Rattus norvegicus: one gene and its partners. The protein of the gene in region 1 purifies or fractionates together with the protein of each later gene. This does not show direct contact. Links are inferred from orthologs where the notes say so. Each region holds a gene or a part of one and is shown in the gene's direction. Other genes may lie near its edges.

Region 1 (7,748 bases):
ACACACATAAAATAAGGGACAGTCCACTTCCAGCAAAAAATGGGTTCTACACATGAAAATGAAAAGCATTTGATATCTTTAACATGCTGAAACCAATACTGTGAATACTTTTTGTGTTTAATAAATTTTCTAGTCCTTTGAGAATTTTATACATTGCATTTTGATCATAGTACCGTCCTTCCCAGCTTCTCCCAGATTCACCCACCTAAGTTTGTGTGTGTGCTTTTTTCAATCCATCAAGTTTCATTTGTTCTTCCTGTATACTCTTGAGCATAGGATCCACTAGAGCACCTTTGTTTTGCTCAGCAAGAAAGTAAAAATATTTTTTAAATTAATGCATTACCATTCTAAACATTCATCTGTTTTTAAATAGTAAAAGATTGAATTTTGATGCCTTGAATATGTAATGATTCATTATAACAATTATGCAGTCTTTAATAATCTGTATATTTTATGCTGCTTTCATGTTTTTCCTAATTAATGACTTCACATGTTTAATATTTATAATTTCTCTGTCATAGTTTCCATATTTATATAAAATGAATACTTAAGATCAGCAACTCTGCTCTTTTTGCTTATATACTATTTTCCATCAAAATAGAAAATGGGACTGAGGCTTAGGCTTGTTGGTGGAGCACTTGCCTGGAATGCAGAAGGCCCTGTGACGGAAACCTAAGGCTGCAATAAATAAGTGGGAGAGAAACAGGCTGGGGGTGTAGTTCTGACTTAGAACATGTGTTCGGCATTATGTGAAGCCCTAACACTGGAAAAGGAAAGCAAACAAAAGCACACACTTGAAAACTCAAGTGGTTTGGTAATGTACTACTCTAGTGTTTAGAATTAAAATGTGATTGTGCCATTATTTTTATGTCATCACTGGATAATTTATTAGTGCTTAGTATCAGAAATATATTCCTTATGTTTTGTGTTCTGCAGTTCCTAATGCAATGTTCTCTTTTTAGAAAAGGTGGACAAGTCGTATTTTCAAGAGAAGATGACTTTTAACAGTTTTGAAGGATCTAGAACTGTTGTACCTGCAGACACCAATAAGGATGAAGAATTTGTAGAAGAGTTTAATAGATTAAAAACATTTGCTAACTTCCCAAGCAGCAGTCCTGTTTCAGCATCAACATTGGCGCGAGCGGGGTTTCTCTACACTGGTGAAGGAGACACCGTGCAGTGTTTCAGTTGTCACGCGGCAGTAGATAGATGGCAGTATGGAGACTCAGCTGTTGGAAGACACAGGAGAATATCCCCAAATTGCAGATTTATCAATGGTTTTTATTTTGAAAACGGTGCCACACAGTCTACATCTCCTGGCATCCAAAATGGCCAGTACAAATCTGAAAACTGTGTGGGAAACAGAAATCATTTTGCTCTTGACAGGCCGTCGGAGACTCATGCAGATTATCTCCTGAGAACTGGACAGGTTGTAGATATTTCAGATACCATATACCCGAGGAACCCGGCCATGTGTAGTGAAGAAGCCAGACTGAAGACGTTTCAGAACTGGCCAGACTATGCCCATTTAAGCCCCAGAGAGTTAGCTAGTGCTGGACTCTACTACACGGGGATTGATGATCAAGTGCAATGCTTTTGTTGTGGTGGAAAACTGAAAAATTGGGAACCCTGTGACCGTGCCTGGTCAGAGCACAGGAGACACTTTCCCAACTGCTTCTTCGTTTTGGGCCGGAATGTTAATGTTCGAAGTGAGTCTGGTGTGAGTTCAGATAGGAATTTCCCAAATTCAACAAATTCTCCAAGAAATCCAGCCATGGCAGAATATGACGCACGGATCGTTACTTTTGGAACATGGCTATACTCAGTTAACAAGGAGCAGCTTGCAAGAGCTGGATTTTATGCTTTAGGTAAACTTCACCAGTAAATTACTTTCCAAATGTCACAGGGCTCCTAAAAAGAAAATCGTTGCCTTTAGTTTGCTCATTATCAGTATCATTCTCTGAACTCATATGTTAAATCTTTGATGGAACTACTGAATTTGTGTTAAAAGGCTCTGCTTTTATGAGTCAGATCTGTTCAAGTAATTCTTGGGTGGGGGAGGTTGCAGTTGAGAGAGAAAAGGTGGTATCAATTCCTGAAAGATAGTGGATCTAATAGTAATACTAGCTGCCATTTATTGAGCATCTACTCGATATGCTCAAAATACCTACTACATGGATTTTCTCTACACTTCACCACAATCCCATAAACACAGTTACTATTAGAGAATTTAGTCTGAGTCATAGTAAATTGACATCAAGCTGAGTAAGCATGAGACCACATACCAGTAATCCCAGCAATCTGTCAGCTGAGTAGAAAGGCCAGCATGAGTTTGAGGGCACTTTGGGCTACACTGTGATACCAAAGCCAACCAAACAAAAATTACCATCTACCTTTAAGCATACTCCACATATTCAGAGTACTTTTCAAACGATTCCTGTGCATGTCTCAAGAAAAGCTGGCAGTGTTATGGCTTCTAGAAATTTTAATCTATATGCCTGATTCATTTAGGATTAAATATAGCCAAATTCAAAATATACATTATTTCAGTTATATAATACAGTAATCTTTTTTAGATTTATTTATTTATTTTATGTATATGAGTATACTGTAGCTGTCTTTAGAGACACTAGAACAGGAATCATATTACAGATGGTTGTGAGCCACCACGTAGGTGCTGGGATTTGAACTCAGGACCTCTAGAAGAGCAGTCACTGCTCTTAACCACTGAGTCATCTCTCCAGCCCATAACATAGTGAGCTTAAAGGTCTGTTTCATGACAGAGAGCTTGTTCTTAAAGATAGTTACCTTGTAATTTATGCTGAACTTTAACATTTGCAATAAAACTTAAACAGTTTTCAGTTTGATAAAGTAAATTTAATAGTGATGGTCCAAGTGACATATACTGGAAAAATGTAGTTTCTAATATAAAAACTGTGATTTTTCTTTGTCTTCTACAAAGTACATTATATTGAGATGATGAATTTAGTACATATTTTCCTTCAAATGACAAAGAGCATATCTAGGTATGATACCATCTTGAATGTTGTCTTTTAAGCCATGAGGTTTGATATAATTAGACACTCCTCAAATGTTAGAATGGGCATTTTCTGAAAACTTACACTTGAACAGAAACACATAGTTTTCCTTGTGCGCTTTCTTAGGTGAAGGTGATAAAGTGAAGTGCTTTCACTGTGGAGGAGGGCTCACGGATTGGAAGCCAAGTGAAGACCCTTGGGAACAGCATGCTAAGTGGTATCCAGGGTAAGATCCTTAATTGTTCATTCACTAATAGGCAAGTTGGACATTGTGCAGTGGAAACATTTGAATTACTTTTCACCTCAACTATTTTTGCCTTCACTATGGCTTGAAATTCACACCAAGTTTACAGAAATGGGGTCACCTACTTTGTAGGGAAAAAACCCACCTAAGACTTCTGGTAACCATAACATTCACTGCTTATATGTCATATGATACTTAGATAATTCTTCTATTTCTAAAAATCAAATTATAAAAATATATACATTTTTATTTAGTATAGTATACAAAAATAAATACTTTTTACTTAGAAGTAGGCTCTTTGGAGATTGGCATGAGCCCATGGTGCCATGAGAAGACCTGAAGAATGATCATAATGTATATTATTGTTTGTTTGTTTAATCTGAGACAAGGTCTCACATTACCTCAGGTTGACCTGAAATTCCCTATGTCTTCCAGGCTGGCCTCCATCTTGAAACCCTCTTGTCTCAGTTTCTTTGTCATCTTCCCTCTGTAAAATACAGTACTCAGCTAGCTTTATAAGTTATGTGAGCTTCTAATATATAAAATAATACCACTCCAAACATTAGAACAATCATTTGAAAAGAACCCTTTAAAAGCCACATTCAAGTTAAATGAGTGTTCAGTACTGATTTAAAAAGATTAACCATTTTGAACTTGTAAAAAACTGTCAGTATTGGTGATGGTGGCACATGGCTTTAATCCCAGCACTCAGGAGGCAGAGGCAGGTGGATATCTTAAATTTGAGGTCAGCCTGGTCTGTGGAGTTCCAAGATAGCCAAGGCTATACAGAGAAAACCTATATCAAAAAAAACCAAACAAGTAAAGAAATAGTAGCAAGTCACTGTTAGGTACTAATTTACTGGTTGCTTTTTACCTGCTGTCAGGTTTAGGTTTGTTTGTTTGAGATATGGTTTTTACGTAGTCTTAATTGGCCTGCATATTCCTATGTAGATTACGCTGCCCTTAAACCTCGTGCCAGTCTTCCAACTTGCCTTTTGAGTATTACAGAGGTGTGGTACCATGCTTGTCTTTTTTGTTTCTATTTTGGGATAATATTTTTTGTACATCAGGCTGTCAAGAATTCACTATGGAGCCAAAGATGGCGCTAAACTTCTGTACTTGGTTAATTCAGGTGTTTGCCACCATGCCTAGCTAATAACTTTTTTGACTTTTTTTTTCATTTTCTTTTTTGGCACTGGCTATATAAATAGCCCAGAGTAGCCAGGTTTTCATATTGGTCTTCGTATCTCAGCCTCCCAAGTGCTGAGATTACAGTCGGATGTCACCATACTTGGTTCCTAATTTAGTAACTCTTACTTGAAAATTGAAAGTTCTCAAATTGATAGTATTAGCATGATTATAGCCTTGGAATCATAGCTGGATAGGGAATTGGATAGCAGTGCTTTGTGGCTCCTCAGAAACAGTGTATGAAGCTGACCATTTAACCTCAGCTACTTCGGAGTCTGGTGAGATGGGAGGATGGGAATATCCAGGCCTGTCTAGGCTACAGAGCATACTCAAGGCCAGCCTGGACCTCTTAGAACCCAGCTCAAATAAAAAGACTGGGGTGATTTATGGTTATTCCTGCTTGGGCAGGAGTATTAGAAGTCCAAGGTTACGTTTGACTACATAGCAAATTTGAGGCCAGCTTTCGAATGGCCTCTGATGGAAACTGATGTTATCATTCAGTGATGGAGTGCCCGCTAAGGTACTCATGAGCCTTAGTTTAATCCCCAGTAACACATACAAAAAAGACAATGAAAGGATAGGTTTTGTTTGTTTGTTTGTTGCCTGGGTTGGGGATGTACACAATTGGAGGTTAGAGTACAGCCTGGAGGAGTTTGTTCTCTCCTAACATGTGAGCTCCTGAGATTGAACTCAGGCATCAGACTTCTCGGAAAGTGCCATCTCTCTGGCCCCCAAAAGGTAGTTAATGGAATTTATATGATAGAGACTGTCTTTACTAGTACTTCTCTAATTTATCAGCTAGTAGAATTTAATTTTCTTTAATCTTTCAGGTGTAAATATCTATTGGATGAGAAGGGACAAGAATATATAAATAATATTCATTTAACCCATTCACTTGGGGAATCTGTGGTAAGTTGCTTATTTGCAATGTGTTTTCAAATTCTATATCTTTGTTTTTCTTTTGTTTTCATTAATTTATTTATTCACTTTACATGCCATTATCCACCCCTATTTCCCAGTTTCTCCTTCACACAACTTCTTCCTCCGTATACCCTCCTTTTTCCCTGAGAAGGGGGAGACCCTCCCTGGGTATCACCACACCTTGGCATATCAAGTCACTGCAGGACTAGGTACATTATGCCGAGCCAGCAGGGATGCTCAGTTAGGGGAACAGGATCCATAGGCAGGCAATAGGTTCAGGAACAGCCCCTGCTCCATTTGTTCAGGATCCACATGAAGACCAAGCTTCACATCTGCTACATATGGGCGGGGTCTAGGTCTAACCCATGTTTGCTCTTTGGAGGGTGATTCAATCTCTGGGAGCCCCCAAGGGTCTAGGTTAGTGGACTCTGTTGGTCTTTCCTGTGGTCGGTCTCTCTCTCTCTCTCTCTCTCTCTCTCTCTCTCTCTCTCTCTCTCTCTCTCTGTGTGTGTGTGTGTACATACGTGTACACACCATGTGTTGTACCTGAGGAAGCCATAAAAGGGCATGATTTGGTATTAAAATTACAGGCAGTTATAAGCTGCCCAGTATGAATTCTGGGAACTGAACTCTGGTCTTCTAGGAGAGCAACAGGTGTTCTTAACTGCTAAACCATCTCTTTAGTAACCCTTTAGCGGATAATACTTAAGATTACAAAAATAAGGACAGGGATATACATGGGTTTTACTTTTTCTGGCTAGCATAAACAAGCCCCTGGATTCAATCTCTGATAAGACAAAAAAATTTAATAATATGTCTGAATTGACATATAGGACAGTGGCAATCATAGCATTAGTAAACTGAGAAGAACCTTGGACTGTGATGGGAGTCTAGAACTGACATGATGGTTCTACCATTAGTTTCTAGTTGAGTTTGTATTTGTTTCCCTCCGGGGAGTCATTTGATCTCATTGGCCCTTGGCTTCTTGTTTGTAAAGGGGCGATGATTAGATAGTCTTGCCTTCCTTCCATTCTGTTGGCTGGGCTCTTATGGATAGGCATGTTTCGAATTAGAATAAAGCCAATTTGTTTTATGTTTATTAACTTTTCAAATTGAGATAATTGCTTTTTGCTAAAGTGAAATCTTACCATTCATGTTTCTATTTTAGGTAAGAACTGCTGAAAAAACACCATCAGTAACTAAAAAAATCGGTAAATATGTTTATTAAAAATCTGTTTAGTTTTGTGGCCAGTTTATTATAGTTTGTTTAATGAGGCTGCTATAAATTTAAGAATTTAATTAAGTGCTTATAATTTTATACCAGACATTTTTGTAGTGAGTACATTAATAGAAAGCCAGGTGCTAGAGCGCTTGCCTAGGAAGCGCAAGGCCCTGGGTTCGGTCCCCAGCTCCGAAAAAAAGAACCAAAAAAAGAAGAAAAAAAAAAAAAAAAAAAAAAAAAAAAGAAAGCCAGGTGCTATGGTGCAAATCTATAATCCGAGCACTGAGGATGTTGAAGCAGGAGAATCCGGAACCTGTGGTCAGTCTGGGTTGCATGGCATGGTTTTAAGAAAGGAAGGAACGGAGGGAGGAAAATGTATTAAAGCAACAAAGGTATTAAAAGTTTAGATTTTAATTTTTCATTCATTTATTTATTTTATATGTATGGGTGTTTAGCCTTCATATATGTGTGCCTAGTTGCCCCAGAAGCCAGGAGAGGTATCAGATCCCCTGGAACTGAAGTTAAAGGTGGTTGTGAGCCACCATGTGAGTGCTGGGAACTGAATTCAGGTCCTCTGGGAGAGCAAGTGTTCTTAGCCTCTGAGCCATCTCAGTAGTCTATCTACTGTGTAGGCCGGACTGGCCTGGACCTCTCTCTTTCTGCCTCAGTCTCTTAAGTGCTGGGATTGAGGGAGTGTACCCCCATATACAGCTAAAGCTGATAGTGTGCTGGCAGCCGAGCCCAGTGAATGCCAAGTACTCTGAGCTGCAGCCTCAGTAGTGTTCCTACAGTTCCCTTGAAGAAACAAAGAGGTGATGTGATCTGCCTACTGCCGTGTTATCATTTTGTTTTGTTTCGTTTTGTTTTGTTTTTAGAGATAGGGTTTCTCTGTGTACTCTGGCTATAATGAATTTGCTTTATACACCAGGCTAGCCTCAAACTCACAGAGATCTGCCTGCCTCTGTCTCCCAATTAAAGGTATATACTATTATAAATTAGTAATAGAACTAGCATTATAAACAAGGTCTTCTAAATCACATAGCATATTGTAGATGTAATTTTTAGTGGGGTTATGTATGGTGTTTTGGTGGTAGTGGTGTGGAACAAAGTGTTTCATTGTATCTCAACTGTCCTA
Region 2 (8,528 bases), on another chromosome or scaffold:
AGACATGATGGTGTATACTTGTTAATCTCCACACTCCGGAGGTAGGAGTAAAAGGATCAGGAGTTCAAGGTTACCCTCAAACTGAGAACATGTTAATGTTAGCATGATCTACAAGAGACTCTGACTGAAAAAATAATTAACAGAAATCAATAGACAAATCTGGGTTTATTTATAGTTTGGCCAATGAGAACTGATTAATCTAGCCCTTCTCCATGTCTAAGGTCATCTTATAATTTACAGAAAGCCATGAGAGAAAAGGCTAAAACAGATGCAAATTTAAGTACAATACTGGCTAATTGTTTTTTTCCTGGGAGGAAGGGAACATGGATTCCCACCATTCTCCATTCCAAAGACAGGTTTTTATTAAATTTGAGCCAAGAAAAATGGAATCTTAAAGATGCCTCTATTTTTAAAAAAGAAAGTAGCCTGGATGTTTCCTGGGATGGGAACTCACTACCCAGAGTCTTTGTCCCTAGGTCCCTTCCTTTAATAGATTTACGTTGGACCTTTCCCATCTTTCTTTGGTGGTCAGCTTCAAGTTCAAGACTCCTGTTTGCCTGTTAAGCACACTCATTCCATAAGTGGGGGTGGGGGGTGGCAGTCTCGTGGCTGGAAGGAGGGTCACAGTGTCTATAACATCTTTCAGCACAGGACCACAGTGAGTCCTGAAGCCTAGGCCAGGCTGGGTTGTTCTGTTCAGGCCCCTTTGGCTGCCATTTATCATTAACTCCTGTTACAATTTGTATAAGTACTGAACAAAATAATGTATACTATATGGTAGGTTGACAGACCTCTGGACTCCATTAAACCTTAAGGCTGGGGCTAAGATAGCACCCCGGACCTGTTGGGGACATCTTGCCTGATGTAAGCAGCGTCTGGGTCTGTATAAGGTTGCCCACTTTTATGTAGCTCACCTGTTTGATGACCACGCCTGCTTTCTCTGGGACTACGACAGGTTTGCGCAATTTGTTCTGAATAGGACCACATAGAACCAGACACCTTTCCTTGGTGTAACATATACCTGTAAAGCATGCCTGTAACTTAAGTGAGGAAGGTTTCCTTTGGTTCCCAGTTTGAAGGGGAGGGTAGTTATCTTGTCGTTCTGACTGGATTTGGAGTCACTAAGAAGACGGGCCTCGGGATTTGTTTCCAGAGAGGTTTGACTGAGGCAGAAAGAGCAACCAGGAATGGGGGCAGCAGCATCCCACGCGGTAAGGTGGTAAGGTGAATTGATAAGAAAGTGAGTGAGCACCAGCACTTGTCTTCCTCCTGACTCAGACTCAGTGTGACCAAGGCCTCATGCTCCCACCACCACGCCTTCCCGACCATGATGAACTGCATCCTCCAACTGTCAGCCACGTCATCCTTTTCAAAGTTGAGACTATTTTGCCACAAGGAGGCAAAGGGACACTAATCTGTCATGGTGGGGAGGCGTGGCCGTGGGCAGGCAACAGCTGTTTGTTAGCTGGTCCAGAGAATAGAAAGTAATCAGACCTGAAGCAGGGCTAACCTATGAACCCCCAAGACATGTCCCTCCTTAACCTGTTTCCTCCAGCAAGGCCCTACTCCCTGAAAGGTTCACAAGCTCCTAAAACAGCACGGTCATCTAGGGGACAATATCCAGACAGAGGAGACTTCACATTCAAATGGTAACATGTATCCTTGGAGGGCCATGTTATTGGGGAACAAGGTGTTTATACTTCTGGGACTCAGTCATTCAAATTGGCTCAGAACAAACTAATTCTTCTTTCAGGATTGTCAATAGGAAAGTATTGTGATTTTCTTTATTTTTTTCGTTTAGCCATGTTAAGGATTGAACCTAGGGCCTTGTATAGGCTAAGCAAGTGCTGTTCTAACAACATCTTGGCCAGCCCTAACAGTTTACTTATAGATAAAGAGAGTATGTTCTATGACCATAGAGCTGTGGTGTAAGTTCTCAAGCCAGTAACATAGCTGTCTAGTGTGATTATCAAATATAGTGCACGATATTCAAAACGTGTGTGTGTGTGTGTGTGTGTGTGTGTGTGTGTGTGTGTGTGTGTGTGTTTGTGAAGATCAAAGAACAACTCGAGGGATTTGGTTCCCTCTTTCCACCATCCTCGGGGATTGAACTCAGGCTGGCAGGTTTAAGTGCCTTTATCCGCTACACCAGCCCTGTAGGAAATGCATGCTACATTTTTTGTTTCTTAATTTTTATTCGGCATTTTAATATATGTGTGTAATGCAACTTGATCATGTTCCCACACCCCTCTGCTTACTTGCAACCTGCATTCATGCCAAGGGCACACAAGTGCAAGTGACTTAACTGTGTGCGACACCACTGGGTGACAGGACTTCTGCCGTTCTTCACATGTAACCTTATGTGGCTACTGTGTATGCAGTAGCTGTAACAGTTCTACTGTTGACAGAAACGCCATTATTTAGTGCATGGTTATATCTGTAAATGTATCAGTTGTCACTGAGATATACTCTGTGATGTGTGTGTGTGTGTGTGTGTGTGTGTGTGTGTGTGTGTGTGTGTGTTAGGTACCAACCCCAAAGCCTTATACATGATAGGCAAGTGTCAGACCAATATCTATACTCCAAAACCCCTTGGTCATTTTCGTTCATCTAATGATGCCCTGCTTCTTCCTGTCAGGAAAAAAGATGATGAACACAGGAAACCAGCATTGTTCTGTGTCCATTGACTCCCATGATGCACTGTGAGGAAACCAGCATTGCTCTGTGTCCACTGACTCCCATGATGCACTGTGAGGAAACCAGCATTGCTCTGTGTCCACTGATGCATTGAGATGATTTTGGACATGGGCTGCCTTTAACAGAATTTGTTTTCTTTGAACCTCAAAGACTCAAAGACACGAGGTCAGCTAGTCTTGTTGGGCAACTGCCTAGGGCTGTGGTGCCTCCTTGGGACAGCAGCACATTGCTGGGACACAGCAGCAATTTTGCATGCTGTTTCCAGGAGCACCTGGACCTTGCAGTCACCTAGGAGCCCCAGTGTAACCCAGTCAGCCAGGAGACAGCTTCCAGAAGGCTGAGACGACTCAAGCTCCCAGTTATCTTGTCTAGATTTGAGCGCAGCTCCTCCAGCATGGTGGCTGGGGCAAAAGAGTCACAGCTTGGGCCACGTTGCCTGGGCATTTGTGCAGGTGATTCAGGCCCTTGGTGACTCTGTTTTACCAGCCGTGGATGGGATAGCAAAACCTCTTGATGGTGCCTGTCACCCTGGGCTTACATTATTGTTTGCCATCATTTTTTGTTTGATTGGTTGGTTGGTGGTTGGTTTCCCAGCAGAGGACAAGTCCAGGAGACACAGAGTTATCCCTGGCTACTCCCCAAAGACTTGCCCCAAATCCTGTAGCCTGAGCACCCAGCACCCAGCACCTCCTGCTCAGTTCCTCACAGACTTTATTTTCAAAGTCACCACAAACTGGAACCACACGGGGTACAGGGCATGTAGGAGCTGCTTCTCCAGGAAACAAACTCAAGCTTAGCATCCAAGGAGAGACCAGACAGAAGCAGAGTGGAAGGGTCACAGGTTGAGAAGGGGGCGGGACCCAGATGGAGGCAAAGCCAGTTAGAGGGCGGAGGGAGGGAGGGCGGAGGGAGGGAGGGGCTGTTGTGCTACCCAGAGGAAACCTGACAGCTAACTCCCACCCTGGAGGTCGCAGTCACAGTAGCACAGAGGCAGCACAGGACTAGTGGCACAGCAGAAGACTAGCCCATGCTGCAGAATGGCCTTCTGGGAGTATCTAGCTACAGAGATCTGGGAACCGCCCTGGGCTGAGAATTCTAGAAGTCTCCTCCTCCCTGCTGTGAGTCTGGGCTGGGGAAACACTTTCGGTTTTGTTTTGTGTGCAAAGAAACAGAAACTCCACCGAAGTACTCTGAGGAGCAGACCATGGAGGACGACTTCCAAGTGTGCAGGAACTGGTAAGAAGGCATCTTCTCCAGGGCTGGCCAGAGAGAGGGGCAGAGCAGAGCAAACAAATTCTGAAGTGAGGAAGATGAAGTACAATACCAGAGGATGAGCCAAAGGGGACTGGACGCTCTGGTGTAAGGAGGCTCCAGATCTCTAGGTAGAGTGCTCAGTGGGGCCTCGATATCACTGTCCCCCTTTAGCACGGGTGTTTCAGGCTGGCTGGTCAGCCATGAAGTATGGAGGGACTAGTCCCTAGCAGAGTGTTTATTCCTGTCAGAGCTTAGGTCCCTAGTGTGGGGCCCCAGCAGCATGGTCTTCCCACCCATCTGTGAGAGGAACCTTGAGAGATATTCCAGGGTTATTCCTGTCCCCTGACAGACAAAGGAGCTGGAGGAAGAGCACGAGGGACTGAGCGGGAGGCAGTGACCACACCTCCAAGTAAAGAGAGCTGGTTTCTCAGCAGACCCCACCGGTTGCCATAACTGGGGTAAAACTCCCCCAGAGACCTTTGTTCCACCTTTCAGAATCTCTGGACTATGGATTATGGAGGCAGGCAGGCAGAACAGAGAAGGCAAACAGAGTAAGGGATGTCATTCTGTGCAGCCATGGGGACAGCTGGATCAGGCTAACAGCAGTGAGGCCATGAGCCAGATCCTGTGGCCCTGGGGGCACCTCCCCTGAACAACTGGTCCTTTAGGGATACAGCCTGTGTTTCCTTTCTCCTGAGCTGCCATCAGCATGGGCCAGTGGAATGGGCGGGCAGTATTCCTGGTGATGCGAGTGTCACAGGAGGACACCCTGCCCTGCAGGTGGGAAACGCCACTGGGTCTCAGCAGCTCTGGGTGGCTGCAGGGGAGCCCACGGACAGGAGACAGCTAGGTAGATGGACTTTTGCTCTTGAGAGTTGGGAAACCCTTGTCCCTGAACTGTGGGCAGGGCAGGGCTGCAGGGCCGACTCTACTTATTTATTCTCATGACGGCCTGTCTGGGAGATAACCAGAAAAGAATAAAACTTTACCTCCCCATCCCCTCTCTGTGGGGGGATGCTGGGGAGGGAGTGGTCCTGGGCACTGAGCCTAGGGCATCGCACAGGACCACCAAGCACTCCGAGTTGCTTTTTTCCCAGCTCCATTTTTCCTCTTCCTTTTGACCCGGGGTACCACTAAGTTGTCCAGGCTGCTCTTGAACTCACTCTATAGATTAGGGAGGCCGTAAACCAGCCATCTTCCTCTCTCAGTCTCAACAGCACCTGTGCCTACAGCCCTGGCTAACTCGTACATGTTTGAAGTGCACACCTTGGCACATAGTACTTATCTGGGAAACCATCCTACAAGCGAGGAAGTGGAATCTATCATCACTCTTAAAAGTTGCCTGTTGCCCTGGTAACGTCCTCCTCCTGCTCTCCTGGGCAGGGTGGTGCTTTGCAGACTGTCCTTGCGCTTAGGATAGTGAGTGTTCCTGATTCACCAGCACTGGCAAGGCAGGAGCGCATCATCAGCATCACTTCTTCCTGCGCCCCAGACCTGGAAAAAGCCTACCCTAGGTATGCAGCAAGGCCTCATGCTCTAGACTAAGATGCTGCGCCTTTCTTTCTCCCCTTTCCCCCACTTCATCCTGAAGCAAAAGAAGTGTGGCCTCTAGCCACTTCACTCTCCATGAGGCCCACTGCCTGCGTTTCCTGGTCCTTTGCCCGGAATGTGAGGAGCCCATCCCAGAGTCAAAGATGAAGGAGCATGTGGAAGCTGTGCACCAGCAGGTGAGCAGGTGGGCAGGTAGGCAGGTGGGCAGGTGGGCAGATGAGCAGGTGGGCAGGTGAGCAGGTGGGCAGGTGAGCAGGTGGGCAGGTGGGCAGGTGGGCAGGTCGGCAGGTAGGCAGGTGGGCAGGTGGGCAGGTGAGCAGGTGGGCAGGTGGGCAGGTGAGCAGGCGGGCAGGTGGGCAGATGAGAAGGTGGGCAGGTGGGCAGGTGGGCAGGTGGCACAAAGGCCAAGGGAGTGTGTCAGCAACTGGAGTCCAGCCTTCCTAGCCCCTCCATGTTTGTTTGGCCTCCATTTTAGAAGCGAAAAGGGTTTTTGTTCTTGTTATATGCCACCCTAAGGATGTCCTCAGTTCCTCCCTTTCTACTTGCTACTGCGGGACTATGGGTCCAGCAGAACAAGGAATCCATTTCAACAAAGGTTAACTGTTCTTCAGAGACTTGTAAGGAGGAAGCAGGAGGGCCCAGCTCAGTCTTCTTGCCTAGCTTTTTGAGTCAGTCGCTCATGGCTTTATCTTTCTGAGAATCAAGTTCGGGCAACCATTTAGATTCAGGCTGATCCAGCAAACAGTTCTTGAGCCCTAGGCTAGGCGCTAGAGGAAAACTCGAGCAGCCACTCTGGGTCTCTGCCCTCTAGGATCTCATGGACCCAAGTGTGGAGCACAGCAAGGCAGCTGATGTAAGGAGGGGCCAGGGGCTGGGCTTGAACCCACGTCCCTCTGTACTTGTGTTTGTGTCCTACTTAAGGTTACTGCTTTGATGTAACCTCCGGGAAAGCAACTTGGGGAGGAAAAGGTTTATTTGGCTTACACTCCTATATCACTGTTCATCCTCAAAGGATGTCAAAACAGGAACTCAAAGAGAGCAGGAACCTAGAGGCAGAAGCCGATGCAGAGGCCATGGAGGGATGCTACTTATTGGCTTGCTCCCCCCATGACTTGCTCAGCCTGCTTTTCTTCACAGAACCCAGGACAACCAGCCCAGGGATGGGATGGGCCCTCCCCCATCAATCACTATGTAAGGAATTATCTTTCTCTCTCTCTCTCTTTTTTTTTTTTTTTTTTTTTTTTTTTTTTGAGCTGGGGACCGAACCCAGGGCCTTGCGCTTGCTAGGCAAGCGCTCTACCACTGAGCTAAATCCCCAACCCCAGGAATTATCTTACAGCCAGATCTTAGAGGTGTTTTCTCAGTTGAGGTTTCCTCCTTTCAGATAACTCTGGCTTCAGTCAAGTTGACATAAAACTAGCCAGCACGGATGGAGTAGGCTGGACTATGTCAGCAGCATGTGCAAGCCCTCCCTTGTTGAAGTAGGAGTGAATTCTCCTCTATGGGCAAACAGGATAACAGGGGAGAAAAAGAAGAGGCAGTCATAAATATTCCCACCACCACCACTTCCTCCCCACCTGAGTGGCCAGGAGAATGATGAGAATCATCCCACTCCAAGGATGCAGATTATGCATACATACATACATACATTATTTGCATGCATACATACACACATACTTGCATACATACGTACACACTTGCATGCATACATACATACACACTTGCATGCATGCATATATACATACATGCTTGACAGGAGAATTCCACCATCCATGAGTTAGTAGTTAGTTTTTGTTAACTGGACACCGGCTGTGGTCACCTGGGAAGAGGGAATCTCAGGTGAACAATTCCATCAGATTGCCCTGAGGGTGTGTCTACAGGCAATTTCCTGATTAATGGCTGATGTAAGAAATCCCAGCCCACTGAGCCAGGTGGTCCTGGGTTGTAAAGAAAGCAAGCCAAACAAGCCAGTAGGCAACATTCCCATAGTCTCTGCTTCAATTCCTGCTTCTGGGTTCCTTCCTTGGGTTCCTGTCCTGGCTTCCCTCAATGATAGATGTGGTGTTGAAGTATAAAATGAAGTAAATCCTTTTCTCCCCAAGTTGCTTTTGGTCATGATGTTTATCACAGCAACAGAAGCAAAGTGGAACAGTGAGTCTAAGGAGTTCATAACCCCAAGGGCTCTCTCCGCCTCTGACCCTTGCCAGTACTTTGATTGGCTTCAGTTCCCTAGGAGGTTGGGCCTATGTTCTCCATCTTCCCACAGACCAAGGAAAGCCAACAGGACCCTGCCGAGTGCAAGTTCTGTGAGCTGGCTGTGCAACTCAGCAAGCTGGACGTCCATGAGTACCACTGTGGCAGCCGGACAGAGCATTGTCCACACTGCAACCAGCGCGTTATACTCCGGGTACTGGCACAGCACAAAGACCTGTGTCTGAGTGCAAAGGGCAAGCCTAAGGAAGGTGAGCAACAGGGAGAAGCTGGAGAGGGAGGGAGCAGCTCCCAGGGCCAGACAGTCTCCTGGGCAGGATGCAAGAAGTAAAACCCTTGACAGGATAGAAGAGTGTCCAATCTGTGTTTCCACCAAACTGGAGTAGCCTTCTTGTGTGTCTGTAGTAGCCTTTCATGACTTAATCAGGCAAAAGAAGAGGCCGGGGTGGGGGTGTAGAACACACTGAAGAGGGAGAGAAAGCCACGGGGAATCCCAAACACGCAGGGTTTTCTTTGCATTCCATAAGACACAACACTAGCCTGGTAAGACACACCTGAATCACCCTGTAGATGAAAATGTACAGAGAGATCAGGAAACAAACAAGACTGGACACTCCAGCTTCCAGCACTGAGCTAGATCCTAGGCTATTGAATGTTTTTATCATTCTGTGATTAATAATAAAAACAGATAAGCAGAAATAGCTAGAGGAAGGAAGGGTTTACTGTGGCTCATGGTTTGAGGACATAATAGCCTTGATGTGTTGGGGAAGACATGACCACAGGAGCATGAGGCACTCCTCACTGTCCCCCTGAAC
Region 3 (8,510 bases), on another chromosome or scaffold:
TCCTATAAGGACAACATTGAATTGGGGCTGACTTACAGGTTCAGATGTTCAGTCCATTATCATCAAGGCCGAAACATGGCAGCATCCAGGCAGGCATGGTACAGGAGGACCTCAGAGTTCTACATCTTCATCAGAAGGCAGACAGAAGACTGCCTTCCAGGCAGCTAGGACTAGGGTGAAAAGTCCATGCCCTCAGTGACACGACTACTCCAACAGGGCCACACCTCTCCATAGTGCCACTCCCTGGCCTGAGCATACACAAACTACCACCACCATCATATTCTATTACCCCTCAATCATGACATCTGGAGGGCTGGAGAGATGGCTCAGAGGTTAAGAGCACTGACTGTTCTCCAAGAGGTCCTAAGTTCAATTCCCAGCAATCACATGGTGGCTCACAACCATCTGAAATGACATCTGGAAACCAAGCCTTCAATACTTCATACTCATACAGAAAGGGAGTCAGACCCAGGTGGAACTCCGTGGCACTTGTACAGACTGCACTAGGAAGTTGGGATTCTGGGAAGAAAAAGTCCATTTCTTAACAAGAACAACAGCCTTCCTTTTTTTTTTTTTTTTTTTTTAAGAATTATTTATTTTATGCACAGCATTCTGCCTGCATATGTGATTGCAGGCCAGAAGAGGGCACCAGATCTCATTACAGATGGTTGTGAGCCACCATGTGGTTGCTGGGAATTGAACTCAGGACCTCTGGAAGAGCAGTCAGTGCTCTTAATCACTGAGCCATCTCTCCAGCCCAACAACAGCCTTCCTAACCGTGGGTTCCCTAGCCAGGGTTGCTGAATTTAAGCCATGCAGTAGGGGACAAACATATGTCTCCATACAGAGGTATCGTCCATTCCGTACAGTTCTATAACAGGGGAAACCACTAGGAGGAAGAAGCAGAGTAGTCAGTAGTCACCTCTACCAGGTGTTTGTCACAGGGCTTGCCCAGTATACTACTTGACACTTGTTCTGTGTAGAATTGTGCCCACCTCTTCACGTTGAAGACCTAACTCCCAACACCTCAGAATGTAATTGTATCTGGATACAGTTTTTTGTTTGGTGTTTTGAGACTGGGTCTCTCTAGCTAGCTTAGGCTGCTTCTGCTTTCTGAGTGCTGGGATTAAAGGCATGAGCCAACACACAGGGCTCGTGGATATAGTCTTAAAGAGTTCAAATAGGGTCCTTAGCGCAGACCTTAATTCAAAGTACCGGGTGTTATTATGAGATGAGAACACAGACACCAATCCAGTAAGCACACAGAAGTTTCCACCTACAGATTCAGGAAGACAGAGGCTGGTAGAAAACCCAAAACTTTGATCTGAGACTTCCAGTCTCCAAAACTCTCTGGAGAATTAACGGCTGCTTTGTGCACACTCCGGGTTTCCTGTACTCCAAGATGAGCACAAAATTCAATGCATCTGAATAACTCTGACATTCCGATTGTGTAGAATATAAGGACTGAGAAAGCCCTGGGCATCACTGTTTGCCTGTTCAACATGTTAGAAGATCCACACATAGTTTTTAAATCCAGCGGATCCACAGGTGTCGCCATAAACCCTCAGGCTCACTGCCCAAGATCAAGCCTCAGGGACACAAGAGTAATTCGCGGGGGAAGATGGGTAGCTGGATCCACTAGGAGGAGGAGCCCGGATAAAGCGCGCCACCCTACTGTTTGGTACTGGTAACTCCGTAACATCTCCTATCACCGTTGCTTAGCAACAACAGAGACGTCTGGCTTTTCGCGCGCTGAAACCCGCCCTCGATCTCGCGCGGGTTTATTCAGACCCCTTTAGCACACGAGTCCCGCCCCCAATGTAGCTTCCCGCTAACCCCGCGCCCCACCCCAGAGCCCCGCCTCTTAGTTTTTGGCCTATCCTGAGCTGCGGCATGCACTAGCCCCGCCCTAACACCCCTCTCGGCCTATCCCATGCCACGCCTTGCGTAGACCCCACCCCGCTGCGCCAGCGCCCTTGGCCTTTTCCCGCGCCCCTGCATTCCACTCACTGCCTCCCTCAGCCTATCCCTCGCGGCTAACTGCATAAGTCCCTCCCCCACCGTCTCGACGGCCTATCCCATGCAGCGACCCGCTTGAGGCGAGCCCCCAGTCTTTCTCCGGCCTATCGGGAGCCGCGCCCTCGTCCGCTCGAGCCTCAGCAGCGGTCCGAGTGAGTTGTGACGTGTTCGGCGCGCTGTGCGCTGCTGTGGGCTGTGTCTGGTACCCGCTATCATGCCCAAGCGGAGCTGCCCGTTCACGGATGCTGCCCCGCTTCAACTCAAAGTCCACGTGAGCCCGAGAGAGCTGAGCCACGGTGTGTTCGCCGAGCGCTACTCGCGCGAGGTCTTCGGTGAGTGTGGACTTCCGTGGGTACAGCGGGTTACGCCGCACGGGGCAGCGGGAGACGCCAAGCGCGTCGCGAGCCCAGGGTGAAGGCTGCTTCAGGCCGCTCCCGGAGAAAGCCGAGTCGAAGCCGAGTCCTGCCGAGCGGAGTAGCCTGGCGCGGGACAAGCAGAGGGACTGGGCGGGAGTGGGCGTGAAGGCGTACGCTGCCCTGGGCCCTCTTAAGTTGACTTCCCAGCGGATGGATGTTGTTGAGCATCGCTTCGCGGTGCGCAGAGTTTACAGCTGTACAGTTTTGAGTGGTGCCTCTGTGCCTTTGGAATGTGCGGAAAAAACAAACTCCCTACTCAGCCCCAGTATTTGCCTTTTCCCTTACTGTACGCTGGGAATGCAAACTCAAATGCTGAGACTCAGGGATGTAAAGTGTAAGGATGCAAAGTGTAAGGACTGAGTTGCAAAGAGTGTGTCCCCCAAAATGTAGACATGACCCGGCGTCCTGGCTTTTTTTTTTTTTTTTTAATGCCAGCACTCAGAAGGCAAAGGCCGGAGGATTTCTTGAGTTTGAGACCAGTGTGGGCTGTAGAGTGAGATGTCTTAAAACAGCAACCACACGATGCAAACACGACCCAGAAAATGCCTCAGCCGGTTAAAGTGCATTCTATGAAAGCCTGAACCTGAGTCAGGTCCCAAGAACATGTAGTAGGAGAGAATCGATTCCTGAAAGTTGTCTTCTGACCACACTCATAATAACTAAATAGCCAAGTGGATTTAATTTTTAAAAGAATGTAAGCATGCAGTTGAAAAGACGACCTAAGTATTCATTGGAACCTAACAGCCCAGCTCTACCGTTTTGTGGACTTATGTCCTGGAGCATTGTCAGGGCCGTCAGAGCCAGGCAGGTCAGGAAGGGGTGCTGGGCTATAGGGTGTTATATAGTACACACGGTTTACCAAGCCTGGGCCCACACTCTGGACTCTGGTGGACCAGGAGTCCTTGAGGAGAAAGATTGCTCTCACCGTAGAACTCTTCCCATTCCCCTTGTTTTTCAGACAGACTTTCACAGCGAGTCTTAGCCTGGCCTTGAACTTAAATAATCCTATCTTAAAGTAGGAGGCAAGTGAGCTGGAAAGCCACTCTGAATGTTTGCTTGCTTCCAGTGTCACAGAGAGGTCCCTGGGTCTGCTAGGTCTCGCCTGGCTGTAGGTGGGAGTGAGCATTTCTGGAACTTGCAACAGTGTTTCCCCTTAGGGCTCCCTGGGCCTGAAGCCTAAGGAGGAGCGGTTGTTACAGGTGTGAGCAGCCGCTTACCTGGGGTGGTAGGTTGGGAGGCCTTTGTCAGGGGTCGGTTGTCTTTCTCTCCTTTAGTAAAGCTGTTCACTGGCTTGGCAGTGGTGGTGGGTGCTGTTGTAAGCCAGTGTCTGTTTTCTGCCTCCTTGGGGCACTTGCTTTTGAGAATGAGTGCTCTCTGGCACCAAGACAAGCTTACAGGAGGAGAGCACAAACCCAGTGAAGTGAATTAGCCGTGGCTGCTGACAGTAGGTTAATGGAAGGAGTACCAGAGTTGCTGGTGGGCTTGGTAGAATCTGCCACCTGCTGTGGGAGGTGACAATGGAGCCCAAGGACCAAGGAAAGGGGACATCTTCAGCTTGGAGGCAGGGAGGCCCTGGCAAGGCCTCAGTTAGGGAACAGGCAAAGGGGACTCCTTTGGTGCCTTGTAGGGTCGTAGGATGGCTGTGCGAGGGCTTTGCAGTTGGGAGAGTTATCTTAAGGAAGGATCTTTTTCCCAGAAAGAACCAAGCAGCTCCTTTTCCAAGGGGCCCAGGCCTATAGAGATCACATCTGGGGTGAAGGTTGTTCCATCAACCACCTGCCGGAGCCACTCAAGCCTGGTCTGGTGGGAGCCCCTCAAGCTGCAAGGGGACAGATGTTGATTGGACCTGATGGCCGACTGACACGGTGCCAAGCTCAGGCCTCGGAAGCTGGTAAGTGGCTGCCAGTGGAAATTGCTTGCTATTACACCTAGGGAAGATGGCAGCAGATGTTCTGTCAGGAGCTTTGACTACCTGGGCAAGCAGGATCTGCTTAGAGCAGAGGTTCTCCGCCTGTGGGTCACAGCCTCTTTGACAAACCTGTCTCCAAAAATGTTCACGTTCCTGTTCATGACAGCAAAGTTATAGTTATGAAGTAGCAATGAAAATATGGCTTGGGGTTCGACAACATGAGGAACTGTATATATTAAAGGGTTGCAGCTTTGGGAAGGTGGAGAACCGCTGACTTAGAGCCTGGTAAGTTGAGAAAGGTTGCTGCCCCCCCACCCCCACCCCCATCCCCAGTCATCTAGAGTGGAAGTCACCGGCTTCTAACTGTTGTGTCAGACGCTCTCCTGGTGTCCCGTGTGCAGTAGGAATGTGCTAGTCCATTCTGTTGGGGGATGGTTCTCATGTGACTTGGGAGAAGCAGGACTCTGTGCAGCCCTGAAGCTTGTTGGGCCCCACAGCAGCCCAACTGACCAGTGGAACAGTAAAGCCCATCTTGAGGCCCAGACAGATACCGAGTTCCGATGGAGTACTCACCCCGCGATACTAGCAACAGGCAGGCAATCTGTCCTGGAGTCTTGTCACCAGTCCTGGGAACAAGTCATTGTGAGCCTTTACCCTAGTGCTCCGGGTGGGTGATAGGTTGTCAGAAGGACTCGGTTTCAGGGGAAGGAGGGTGCCCTCTTGTTCTTTCAGTATCCTTCCAGTGCTGACAGCCTGTGTTTTCTCCTCACAGGCCTTCCCGGGGCAGCACCCATTGCTTGTTCATCCTGCGTGAGATCTGTGGATGGAAAGGCGGTCTGCAGCCAGTGTGAGCGGGCCCTGTGTGGGCAGTGTGTGTACACCTGCTGGGGCTGTGGTGCCTTGGCCTGTGTGCTGTGTGGCCTGGCAGAGTGAGTCCTTTGATCTTTAGGGGTGCAGAGCTCATGGTTCCTCTTCTGTGAGGGGATAGGTGCTGGGTGGGTAGTCTCAGGACTCGGTGATCCTTTTGAAAGAAGTCCATGTTTCCCAGGTGTCTTTGGCCTGCTTAAAGCAGCTGCCTGGCTTAAACAGCCTTGTTGTCTGATCTTCTGAGTCCTTATAGTATTAGGGTTCCAACAGTCCACACTGTTGTTTAGCTTCAGTTTCTATCCAGTGTGCTTATGTGAGGATTGCCTCACACATGTCACTGGGTACATGGATGTTCAGGTCATGCCTGCCCTTGTTTTCTGGTTAGCAGTGATCTCTTAGGCAGTATGGAATAGATGCTGCTCACCCACTCGCTGCAGCCAGCTGAGTCAGCTACTTAGAAGTGCTTGGCGAGTGGGTGGACAGTGTAGAGCCCTGTCCCTTTGTTCCACACTGGAAGGACACAGTCTGCCAGATCAGTATGGGATCAGTACAGTGGATCCAGACAAGCTCAGCCCCAACATTTTCTAAAGCATGGGTCAGATGGGAAACCACACTTCATATGGCAAATCCTTGCCACCGGGGTACTCTTGAGGGTTTGGGGAGATCAGGAGTGCATGCAGGGTACTCTGGGGAGACGTCTTAGGAACCTGTAGGGCTGGTTCATGCTCAAGCTGGGAAGGAGAGTTTCTCAGGCTGCCTCCCAGCTTCTGGTGACTGCTTGCTGTAGGTCCTCAGGTTTGTGTCGGTGGCCATCTTATCGCTATGTCTTTTTGTCACTTCTGTGTGTCTCTTATGATATCTCACCTATCTGGTAAACCACAAAGGACTGGAGCCAAGATGTCAGACCCACAGAATGTTTCTATGCTAGACCTGCCATAGACAATGGTGTCCCCAAACTGTCCCTGAAATGACAGTCACCTGAGTCTGTTTTCAAACAAGTTCACATTCTGAGGTGTGATGGGATGAGGGCTTCAGTGAATAGGGATGAAATCAGCTGCTTAGGAATCTCCTCTCCTGTCAACTGTTGTAGCTATGCCGACGATGACGATGGTGAAAAGACGCTTTGCACCAGCTGCGCCATGTTTGAAGCCTGAAGTGGCCATGGACAGCACAAGATGTTCATACTAAAGAGAGAGAAGGTGGCTTTTTATATGTTATATTTTATACCCCAGGAACAAGTGAATAAACCTCTTTATATTTGCACAAGGACTCGCTTCTGTCTGTTAACTGTTCTTAGGGCGGCAGAGATGGCTGCAGGGCAAGCTCTCGCAGCAGCGTCGTGAGCCCCTGGTTATTACCCGAATCGGACTGATAGGCCAGGCCCAGGGAGGTCCTTCCCGTCCTCCCTCAGCTGTAAGAGGAAGCAGCTGAACTCCAAATCAAGCTGCAGAATGGTCACCCGTGTGCTAGGCCACCTCGTGCACCGAGTTACCACTGTCACCTGGCCAGCCATCAGTACCTACACTGCTGAGTTCCAGGTGATTTGATGAGGCCTGGCCCTTCAGGAAGTTTGGCCAGGTGGAGTGTTGTGTTGATTCTAGGGGTGTGACAATCCTCACCATATCTTCAGAGGTAGTTTATGCTGGGCTTTGGAGGGAGTTCCCAGGAGGTAAGGTGGCCTGGAAGATAGTGGTGGGCCAGTCACTGCAGCCACCTGGGTCTTCTGAGTGGTTTGCTGGTAGGTGTCTGGATAAACAGTGCAGAGGTCTCCTCGTCCTGCCCTCTAAGAACAGCTATGGCTGTTGCTTCCCATACACATCAGTGAGGTGCTGTCCTAGATGAGGTTGGTTCAGGTTTCCCAATAGGACCAGACAGTTGTCTCAGAGGCCCTTTGTGAGCAGGAGGCTTTGGGGGGCTGCAGGTGGGTTTACCAAAGCAAACCCTAATCGTACACCACACCCATACTTCCTTGGCTTCTGGTGCTGTTTTACCTGGCTTAGCTGTCTGCCAGGCCCTTTGGGCTCTCCCTACTCTGTCCTCTAGCCTACTACATTGTTGTTTATACTACAAGCTTCTGCTGTAGCTAGCCCACCTCTGTCACCAGTTGGGATCATTGCACAGCCCCCACCACCTTCATACTGTCCAAATAAAACTCCAGACTCTCTTGCTTCCTGTCCTCCTGGGGTTCACTTAAATCGGCTCACTCTCTTGGCTGGAGGCCCTTCCTCTGGGTGTTTGCATGGTTCCTTTATGTCTTTCTGGGTTAGGCTCAGAAGCATCCTAGTGCCTTAGTGCACAGCCCTGTTGCTTTTCTTTTCTTTTTTTTTTTTTTCTATTTTTTTCGGAGCTGCGGATCGAACCCAGGGCCTTGCGCTTGCTAGGCAAGCGCTCTACCACTGAGCCAGATCCCCAACACCCCCTGTTGCTTTTCTAATTCCACCATATAGATTATGGATGTCTGTGATTCCTCCCAGCTACCATGTAGGTTCCTGAGAGCTTCGACTTGGCTTCAAATGGCATCTTACATGTCATTGACTTGTAGTAATCCAGCCATGAGATAGCAGGGACTCAAAAACTGTTTAGGGAGTGTGTTTGACTGCATGGAGTTAGTGTGGGGATGCATGCATGAGTTTGCATGTGTGGAGCCAGCAGTTGGCTTTTTGTTTTGGTTTCATTTGGTTTGTGGGTGATTTGGCTTTCGAAGCAAGGCCTCTTCATTTGGCCTGGAGCTCACTGATTAGGTTAGGCTGTCTGGACAGCAAGCCTCAGGGCCACGCCTGTGTCAGACTCCCCAGCATGAGGAGTATAAACAAATGCCACCACTGTGCTTTTTAAAATATGTATTGTGCGGGCCAAACTTGGGTCATGTTTACATGGTAAGCATTTTGCCAACAGATGCTCTGTCCCCTATCCAACTATAAAAAAGAACAAAGTAGGGGCTGGGGATTTAGCTCAGTGGTAGAGCGCTTACCTAGGAAGCGCAAGGCCCTGGGTTCGGTCCCCAGCTCCGAAAAAAAGAACCAAAAAAAAAAAAAAAAAAAAAAAAAGAACAAAGTACCTAGACATTGGACAGCATCCAGTGTCTGATGATTACCCCAGAGGGAGTAGGTGAACCCAGGTGTCAGCTCCTAGCTGTGGTGTGGGAGGAGACTGAGAGCTTGTGATAAGGATTGAGATTTGGGGGATTAGAGCTACAGTGGCCAGAGATTGCACACAGATGGTCAGTGGGATCCAAGCACCCTTGAAGGTGCTAATCATATTGTTGAGAGCAATGAAGAGAACAAGAAACTCCACATTCC

Evidence for each region.
Region 2: the proteins of Xiap (region 1) and Xaf1 purify together in Homo sapiens (affinity purification with western blotting; 5 studies listed by BioGRID). This does not show direct contact. The link is inferred for Rattus norvegicus from reciprocal best matches to the Homo sapiens genes XIAP and XAF1.
Region 3: the proteins of Xiap (region 1) and Siva1 purify together in Homo sapiens (affinity purification with western blotting; 3 studies listed by BioGRID). This does not show direct contact. The link is inferred for Rattus norvegicus from reciprocal best matches to the Homo sapiens genes XIAP and SIVA1.

What each region holds. Positions count from the first base shown.
Region 1 is NC_086039.1:125,785,086-125,792,833, forward strand, and holds part of Xiap (E3 ubiquitin-protein ligase XIAP), read left to right. Parts: intron 1-962; coding exon of another isoform or gene 963-994; coding exon 995-1,868; intron 1,869-3,164; coding exon 3,165-3,264; intron 3,265-5,300; coding exon 5,301-5,379; intron 5,380-6,559; coding exon 6,560-6,602; intron 6,603-7,748.
Region 2 is NC_086028.1:57,412,062-57,420,589, forward strand, and holds the start of Xaf1 (XIAP-associated factor 1), read left to right. Parts: upstream 1-3,873; 5' UTR 3,874-3,901; coding exon 3,902-3,933; intron 3,934-5,542; coding exon 5,543-5,678; intron 5,679-7,768; coding exon 7,769-7,964; intron 7,965-8,528. UniProt on the Homo sapiens protein: Seems to function as a negative regulator of members of the IAP (inhibitor of apoptosis protein) family. Inhibits anti-caspase activity of BIRC4. Induces cleavage and inactivation of BIRC4 independent of caspase activation.
Region 3 is NC_086024.1:137,524,311-137,532,820, forward strand, and holds Siva1 (apoptosis regulatory protein Siva), read left to right. Parts: upstream 1-2,105; 5' UTR 2,106-2,233; coding exon 2,234-2,351; intron 2,352-4,131; coding exon 4,132-4,326; intron 4,327-5,116; coding exon 5,117-5,273; intron 5,274-6,301; coding exon 6,302-6,365; 3' UTR 6,366-6,480; downstream 6,481-8,510. UniProt on the Homo sapiens protein: Induces CD27-mediated apoptosis. Inhibits BCL2L1 isoform Bcl-x(L) anti-apoptotic activity. Inhibits activation of NF-kappa-B and promotes T-cell receptor-mediated apoptosis.